2 linked regions of the Sus scrofa genome follow. The protein of the gene in region 2 purifies or fractionates together with the protein of the main gene of each other region. This does not show direct contact. Links are inferred from orthologs where the notes say so. Each region holds a gene or a part of one and is shown on either strand. Other genes may lie near its edges.

Region 1 (3,651 bases), about 53 Mb from region 2:
ATGCCAAAACATTGATGTAATGTGCTCCTGATACATTTTTTTTTTTTCTTTTTACAGCTGCACCTGAGGCATATGGAAGTTCCCAGGCTAGGGGTCGAACTGGAGCTACAGCTCCTGGCCTACACCAGAGCCACAGCAATGCAGGATCAAGCTGCATCTGCAATCTACTTTGCAGTTTGCGGCAGTGCTGAATCCTTAACCTGCTGAGCGAGGCCAGGGATCGAACCTGCATTCTCATGGATTCTAGTCGGGTTCTCAACCCACTGAATCACAACAGGAACTCCCGTCATGCGCTTAGTTTTAAGTGTTGGATGAGACTTGAAAGTTAGCTCTAGGCTCTGTTAAATTTATTTTATTATTTTTTTAAGTTTTTTAATTTTTTTGTTTTTTAGGGCCACACCCTTGGCACATGGAGGCTCCCAGGCTAGGGGTCGAATCATAGCCGTAGCTGCCACTCTATGCCAGAGCCACAGCAATGCCAGATCCGAGTTGTGTCTGTGACCTATATCACAGCTCACGGCAATTCCGGATCCTTAGCCCACTAAGTGAGGCCAGGGATCGAACCCACAACCTCATGGTTCTTCGTCCGATTCGTTTCCTCTGAGCCACAACGGGAACTCCTGGGCTCTGTTATATTAATGAGACTTTTTTTTTTTAATAGCAAAAGCAGACATGTGTCAGTTTAAATTCAACATCTATGTATTTGGTAAGTGGAGGCCTGAATAACACAGTTAATATTTGGGATTTAAAATCAAAAAGAGTTCATCGATCTCTTAAGGTAAGCAACCTTTTTTTTCTTTTAATCCTTACAGAAATGGATATCCCACAATGTGTTTATTAGGACTGGTTATCAGACTTTTAATGTTAACTTTTTATGATAAAAATAAGCTTCTTCAGAATTGAAGTGAGATTTGTTAGGGAAAAGATGCTGTTTAGCTAAAAACTTAAGGTTTTTTGGTTTATCTTCCCCTCCATGTATGTCACTATATTGATATATTGCTGGTGTTTAAAACATTATTTTTTCCACTTTGTTCTACTCTTGTTCAAGTGAACCACTTCTTTCATTTAAAAAAAAAAAAGAAAGTGAAAGAAAAGGTTTGTTGTCAACCAGAAATCTTTTTAAGGCACTTTGAAAAAATTACAGTGGTTTTGGGATGACAGTCTTCAATCTAGCAATCAGAGTTGGGAATTTGGCTTCTTAATTCTTTACTACTGTTTGTATTATTTTTGTGTGTGTATATTTTTATCTTGATAATGAAATGTTTCTAAAATAATTTACTTTTTTTTTTTTTTTTGGTCTTTTTGACTTTTGGGGCCACACCTGTGGCACATGGAGTTTCCCAGAATAGGGGTCCAATTGGAACTGTAGCTACCAGCCTACGCTGGAGCCATAGCAACGCCAGATCCCAGGTGCGTCTGCGACCTACACCACAGCTCACAACGCTGGATCCTTAACCCACTGAGCAAGGCCAGGGATCGAACCCGCATCCTCGTGGATGCTGGTCAAGTTCGCTAACCACTGAGCCACAATGGCAACTCCAAAAATAATTAACTCTTTACAATCAGTGTTTCTTTAAATAGTTAGCTTTTTGCCGTTTCAGAAAATGAAAGTAAACATCATGGAAGCCTCTGGTTGTGACTTTTTTTTTTTGGACTTCTCTTTTTTATTATTGTGTCCTTTTAATATTTGGAAGTTCTTTAAAATTACTTTTAATTTTCGTGTCTTTTTAAAAAGTTAATATGCAAAATTTTAAACATATGTGTATGTGTGTGTATGAATACACACACACACACACACACACACACATACACACACACACACACACACACACGCCTATACACAGAGAAAGAACTTCCCTTAACCCGTTATCCGTGTGGTCATCACGATCAGTTTCGGTGATGAGCAGCTCTTGGCCAGTATTGTTTTCTTTGTGTGCTTATCCACGCTCATCCTCAGACTCTCAGAGCATTTTGAAGCGGATACCAGAGATCATTATCGTTTTGTTGTGTATCTTAATGTCACTGAGTTACTTGTTAGAGATAGAGTATATAGAAGAATGGTTTTCTCTTAGCTAAGTTGAAATAACGTCTATGATTGCTGTTTAAAATATTCCTTTTGGAAGTTCATTATTTTAAGTATTAGCTAAACTTTGAAGAGTCTTCAGGAAAATTAAAAAGTTGCCAATAACGAGCATACTTCACTTTTACTGCGTTCTTTGGTATTCCGGCCACTGTGCCTGTCATGTTTGTTCTGTGTATCTCAGTAGCCCTGCAGAGCAGGTAGTATTATTCGTGAGTACAAATGGAGACACTCAGGCTGAGGTGGTACAGAACTTGTTCAGTGTCCAGCAACTAGTAATGGCAGATGAGCTCCGCACGCAGATAATCTATTCATTGTGCAGTCTTGTCAGTTATGAAATAATTGAATTAAAGCTGTTTAGGGGGCTATACTGAGTCTAAATAGAGAATATCGTAAAGAATTGAGATCTGAAGTCTGTAGCCAGTTTTGTCACACAGTGTCACACATTTTAGGAGTGTCACTCATTCCCCTCCTCCTTACCACATGGCAAAATTCTACTCATTTTTCCATCCTAAGCTTTCTCAGTTACTCCAGATAGTTATTTTCTTCCCATCATTTGAAATTCTTAGAGGGCCACCTTCCTTCACGCATTGTTAACACGTGTGTGAGGTTACACAGGTTTCTTAACCTTGGTTAACGCGCCTATAAATTGGGGAAAGTGATTGTTATAAAGATTAATAGTAATATGTAAAATGCCTAACCTTAGCTGGTGCTCAGCAGATGGAAGCATCAAATCTCAACTGTGTCTGGCTCATTCTGGCTTCGAGGCTTTTGTTTTACACTCTTTTCCATTTTGCAGGGTCGGTTTCTTTCTCCTTCCCCTAATTTCCTGCTGAAGGTTGAACTCCAGCCTTGTGTCTTCCACAAAGCTTCCTCTGTCAGCTCTGGTCTTTCTCTTTCCTCTGACACTTTGTCTCTGCCACTCATTTAGCACTCATTCTGCCATTTGCATGTTCACTTAAATGTCCTGTCTTCTCACCTGTGTACTAATATTCTCCAAGGCCGGGACTTTCACAATAGTCAACTTGAAATAAATGTTACTTGTCAGTGGAAGTGAATCCTTTAAGGTAGGTAGAATGCCATTTAGAAAATTACCTTTCCTTTAGGTGTCTTGTTTCAGAGTGCCCAATCATTATTATGGTTATGAAATACAAATCTTTGTTCCCTGAAAAGATTTGATGTTGATCGGATAATTTACTACTCATTTGACTAATTTTTTTTTTAGATTATTTGAGGAAAATGTTAAAGCAGATATTAGATTGACAAATACATAGTATTTAACAAAACATACAATTTACAAAAACATGAAAATGTGCTCTTTGAAGGTTGTATAGCACTGTATTTACTTTCATTTCTTTCATTCAGGATCATAAAGATGAAGTAACTTGTGTAACATATAATTGGAATGATTGCTACATTGCTTCTGGATCTCTCAGTGGTGAAATTATTTTGCACAGTGTAACCACTAATTTATCTAGTACTCCTTTTGGCCATGGTAGTAACCAGGTACAGTATGGGTTTATTCAAAATAAAGTTGATAATATAGATTTTTAATTCTTGTGTAAGAGTGA
Region 2 (3,651 bases):
CATGTCAAGGGTTCAAGATGATGAAGTTGGCGATGGCACTACCTCTGTTACTGTTCTTGCAGCTGAATTACTAAGGGTAAGACTAAATGAGCAACTTCAGTCTTACTGGGGTTTTTAATTACTATGGTTTTGAGTATCGGAAGTCTTTTCCCACAAATTTACTGTTGATGCACCTTTTCCACTGTTTATTAACAGGAAGCAGAATCTTTAATTGCAAAAAAGATTCATCCACAGACCATTATTGCTGGTTGGAGAGAAGCCACCAAGGCAGCAAGACAGGCTCTGTTGAATTCTGCAGTTGACCATGGGTTGGTATACCAAAATAACTATTGTTTCAAACATTTACTGTTCTTTTCAAAATTTTCTCAAGGCAGGAAGTCTAGGGAACAGTGAAAAGCATACACCAACATGATCCTGTTTCTTAAAGGCCTGCCTTAACAACCAAAAAACCCATACTACCCCCAGAGTGACTACCCAGAGGTAGTCACTACTAAAGTTAAAGTTTGGATTTCCAGTTTTTTTGCATATATAATCACAATAAGCAAAATAAATAGTATCCTCATCTAGAGGGTTTTCTTAGCCTCTTTAACTTAGTTGAATAACAAGCATGTTTCTGGGTGTCAGTATCTCTGTAGTATTTCAGTAGAAGTATGCATTTGATGATGAACTTTGCTGTAATTTACCTATCTGTAATTGGAGATTTGTATTTTGATAATTTTTAGCTTTATAATGTTATGAACTTACTATTTTTTAAAGAATATACAATTTCTGGGTCCAAAGGTATGTATGTATTTAAAGGCATAGTTATTTACAAGTAATCCTCCAGAAAAAAATTTATTAATTTACAGTTCCACTAGCTGTATAATCCTCTTATGTTCTTGAATTTTTTGTTTGCTGAAAGTATATTGACAGACACGTGTCTGAATACATTTTGAAAAACAAAACAGTTGTTAACTTTGGAGAAGCATTTTAAGAATAGGCCTGAGGGGGGTTGTTTGTTTGTTTTTGCAGATCTGATGAAGTTAAATTCCGTCAAGATTTAATGAACATTGCAGGAACAACATTATCCTCAAAACTTCTCACTCACCACAAAGACCACTTCACTAAGTTAGCTGTAGAAGCTGTTCTCAGACTGAAAGGCTCTGGTAATCTGGAGGCAATTCATGTCATCAAGAAGCTCGGAGGAAGTCTGGCAGATTCCTATTTAGATGAAGGTATGTATGTTGAATATGCTCAAAGAAGTGTTAATCACATGTTGAAAGTGAAGTACTGACAAAATCCTCTTTTAGTTAATCAGGGCGAATGGTACTTTACAAAGCCAGAAAACTTGTCTTTTAGGACACAAATCATACTGCAACCAACCATTTTTGTCTTCTTAATCCATTTGTTACATTAACAACATGCTACTTCATCTTCTCATTCTACCTCAGTATTTCTTTGATAACCTCTAGGTTTTACTTTATACCATGAGTTAAGGTACAGTCTCTAATAAAGTGAAGTTGTAGTTTTCTCTTACTAGACGTCAGTTATTTTCAAATGGCACCTTTTTCAGGACTATGTGTGTTCTCCAGGAAGGGTCTGGGTAAATCATACTGTTTAGTTGGCGGGTGTTGAGGATATAGTTTCTGGTGTTCTTGAAGAGCAGTAAATGAGTCTTAGCAACTGCTGTTTCCTTAACAATAGTGTATGAATTTTTCAAAGCATCTTTTGTGTGTTTACTTCACAAAACAGTCTGTAGACAGTATAGGCATTTTCTTCTGTAGAGAAGGAAAAAGGAGTAAGTTGTACTTTACGGTTTCGGCTTTATCAGTGATTTGGAGTTGGGTTTTGTTGCATGTTGTGTCTCTTTCATGGGAGTACCATTCTTGAACACCTGCCCCATGTCATGCATTCTAATGGGAATTTTACTTAAAATCGCTTTTCTTTCTCATGTCAACATCCAGTGAGAATTAAGTTGAGCTGAATAGAGCAGTGAACCCAAGTTTATAATGATTTAATAAGGTAAAAGTTACATATGCATCTGAAAGAAACTTGGAGGGATAGGCATACCAAGTTTGTTTGATAGTTCCAAATTAGCAGAACCCTAGGCTGGTAACTTGCATCTCTACTGCTGGTGATAGTCCTGTTTATAGATGAGTAGGTAAGGCTGAATAGTTTGTTTTAAGGCTGCATACATTTCTGGTAAACAGCATGGTTCGGGCCAAGTTTGTCTGCTGTTCATGGCCTTTCATCCTGTGCATCTGAATCTTCACAGCTTGTTTCTTGTGTGTTGGTTTTAAGCTAAAGAAAGTGGACTTAATAGCTTTACATTGCAACCTACACACCTGCATATTATGAGACATATTCAAAAGTGCTCCATTTACTCTTTTTTTAAAAATTAATTTTTATTCAAGTATAGTTGCTAGGCAAAGGACACAGGTTCGATCACTGACCTTGCTCAGTGGGTTAAAGATCCAGCAGTGTCATGAGCTGTGTAGATTGCAGACCTGGTCAGTGTTGTTGTGGCATAGGTCAGCGGGTACATTTCGAATTCTACCCTTAGCCTTGGAACCTCCATGTGCCGCCCTAAAATGATAGAGTAATTTGAGCAAATACCTTAAAAGATTTATTAAAGACAGTCTTAAAGTATTTAATACAATGCTGTCCTTATATTATAGGCTTTCTGTTGGATAAAAAAATTGGAGTAAATCAACCAAAGCGAATTGAAAATGCTAAAATTCTTATTGCAAATACTGGTATGGATACAGATAAAATAAAGGTATGTTAACTACATTTCTAGGAATTCGAATTGCTAGCTGCTAAAAATTCAGGGGGGAATCAGTTGCACTAAAAAAGAAAGAATGTATATGACTGTACACATAGTTTGGGGTGTGTTTTACACTTAAGAGTTTAAATATGCCAAATATGCCATGAAACTTACAAGTAATGAAAATGATGCTGCTTTTTTATCCTTTGTCTTAGATATTTGGTTCCAGGGTGAGAGTTGATTCTACAGCAAAGGTTGCAGAAATAGAACATGCAGAAAAGGAAAAAATGAAGGAGAAAGTTGAACGTATTCTTAAGCATGGGATAAACTGCTTTATTAACAGGTCTGTGTGCTCATGCTAACAATGTTTGTAATCAAAAAAGGATTTTATTCTGCAATGATTTAGGGAAATACTTTCCTATTGAATTTAGTTGTTATTTAGAAAGTGTTGTTTTTCTCCAAATATAATTGTTCAGCAAGGCATTTGCATTACAGTGATTTTAGTGAAATTTTATGTTAATATACTTTGCTAATAAACTTTGTGTCAACAGTGACAAAAGTTTTCTGATTTGGCAGTTGTGTTATTAGTTTTGGTTATAATATTTGGAAGAGGGATTTAATTCACCATTAAATGATGGGAGTTTGAAGTAGCAAAAAGCTAATGATAGCTTAGGAGTAAAACAATGGAGAAGTGAAAAGTTTACAAACTGTTTAAATAGATGTCCTTTTTGCCCCTATTGTAAAAGTAACATGTGCTCATATGGGGAAATAAGAAAGTATAAAGAAGAAACAGGGTTCTCTCAGAATTTTTTATTTTATTAAGTTGGCGTTTATGTGTATAGTCTTCTAGTTTCAGTTCTTCACCTAGTTGTGATCATATGCTATAAACTTTTGTAATTTGCTTT

The links.
Region 1: the proteins of CCT2 (region 2) and NEDD1 purify together in Homo sapiens (affinity purification with mass spectrometry; 4 studies listed by BioGRID and IntAct, with this or other methods). This does not show direct contact. The link is inferred for Sus scrofa from reciprocal best matches to the Homo sapiens genes CCT2 and NEDD1.

The regions. Positions count from the first base shown.
Region 1 is NC_010447.5:86,727,226-86,730,876, reverse strand, and holds part of NEDD1 (protein NEDD1), read left to right. Parts: intron 1-661; coding exon 662-778; intron 779-3,445; coding exon 3,446-3,586; intron 3,587-3,651. UniProt on the Homo sapiens protein: Required for mitosis progression. Promotes the nucleation of microtubules from the spindle.
Region 2 is NC_010447.5:33,861,416-33,865,066, forward strand, and holds part of CCT2 (T-complex protein 1 subunit beta), read left to right. Parts: coding exon 1-76; intron 77-195; coding exon 196-308; intron 309-1,011; coding exon 1,012-1,214; intron 1,215-2,657; coding exon 2,658-2,758; intron 2,759-2,961; coding exon 2,962-3,089; intron 3,090-3,651. UniProt on the Homo sapiens protein: Component of the chaperonin-containing T-complex (TRiC), a molecular chaperone complex that assists the folding of actin, tubulin and other proteins upon ATP hydrolysis.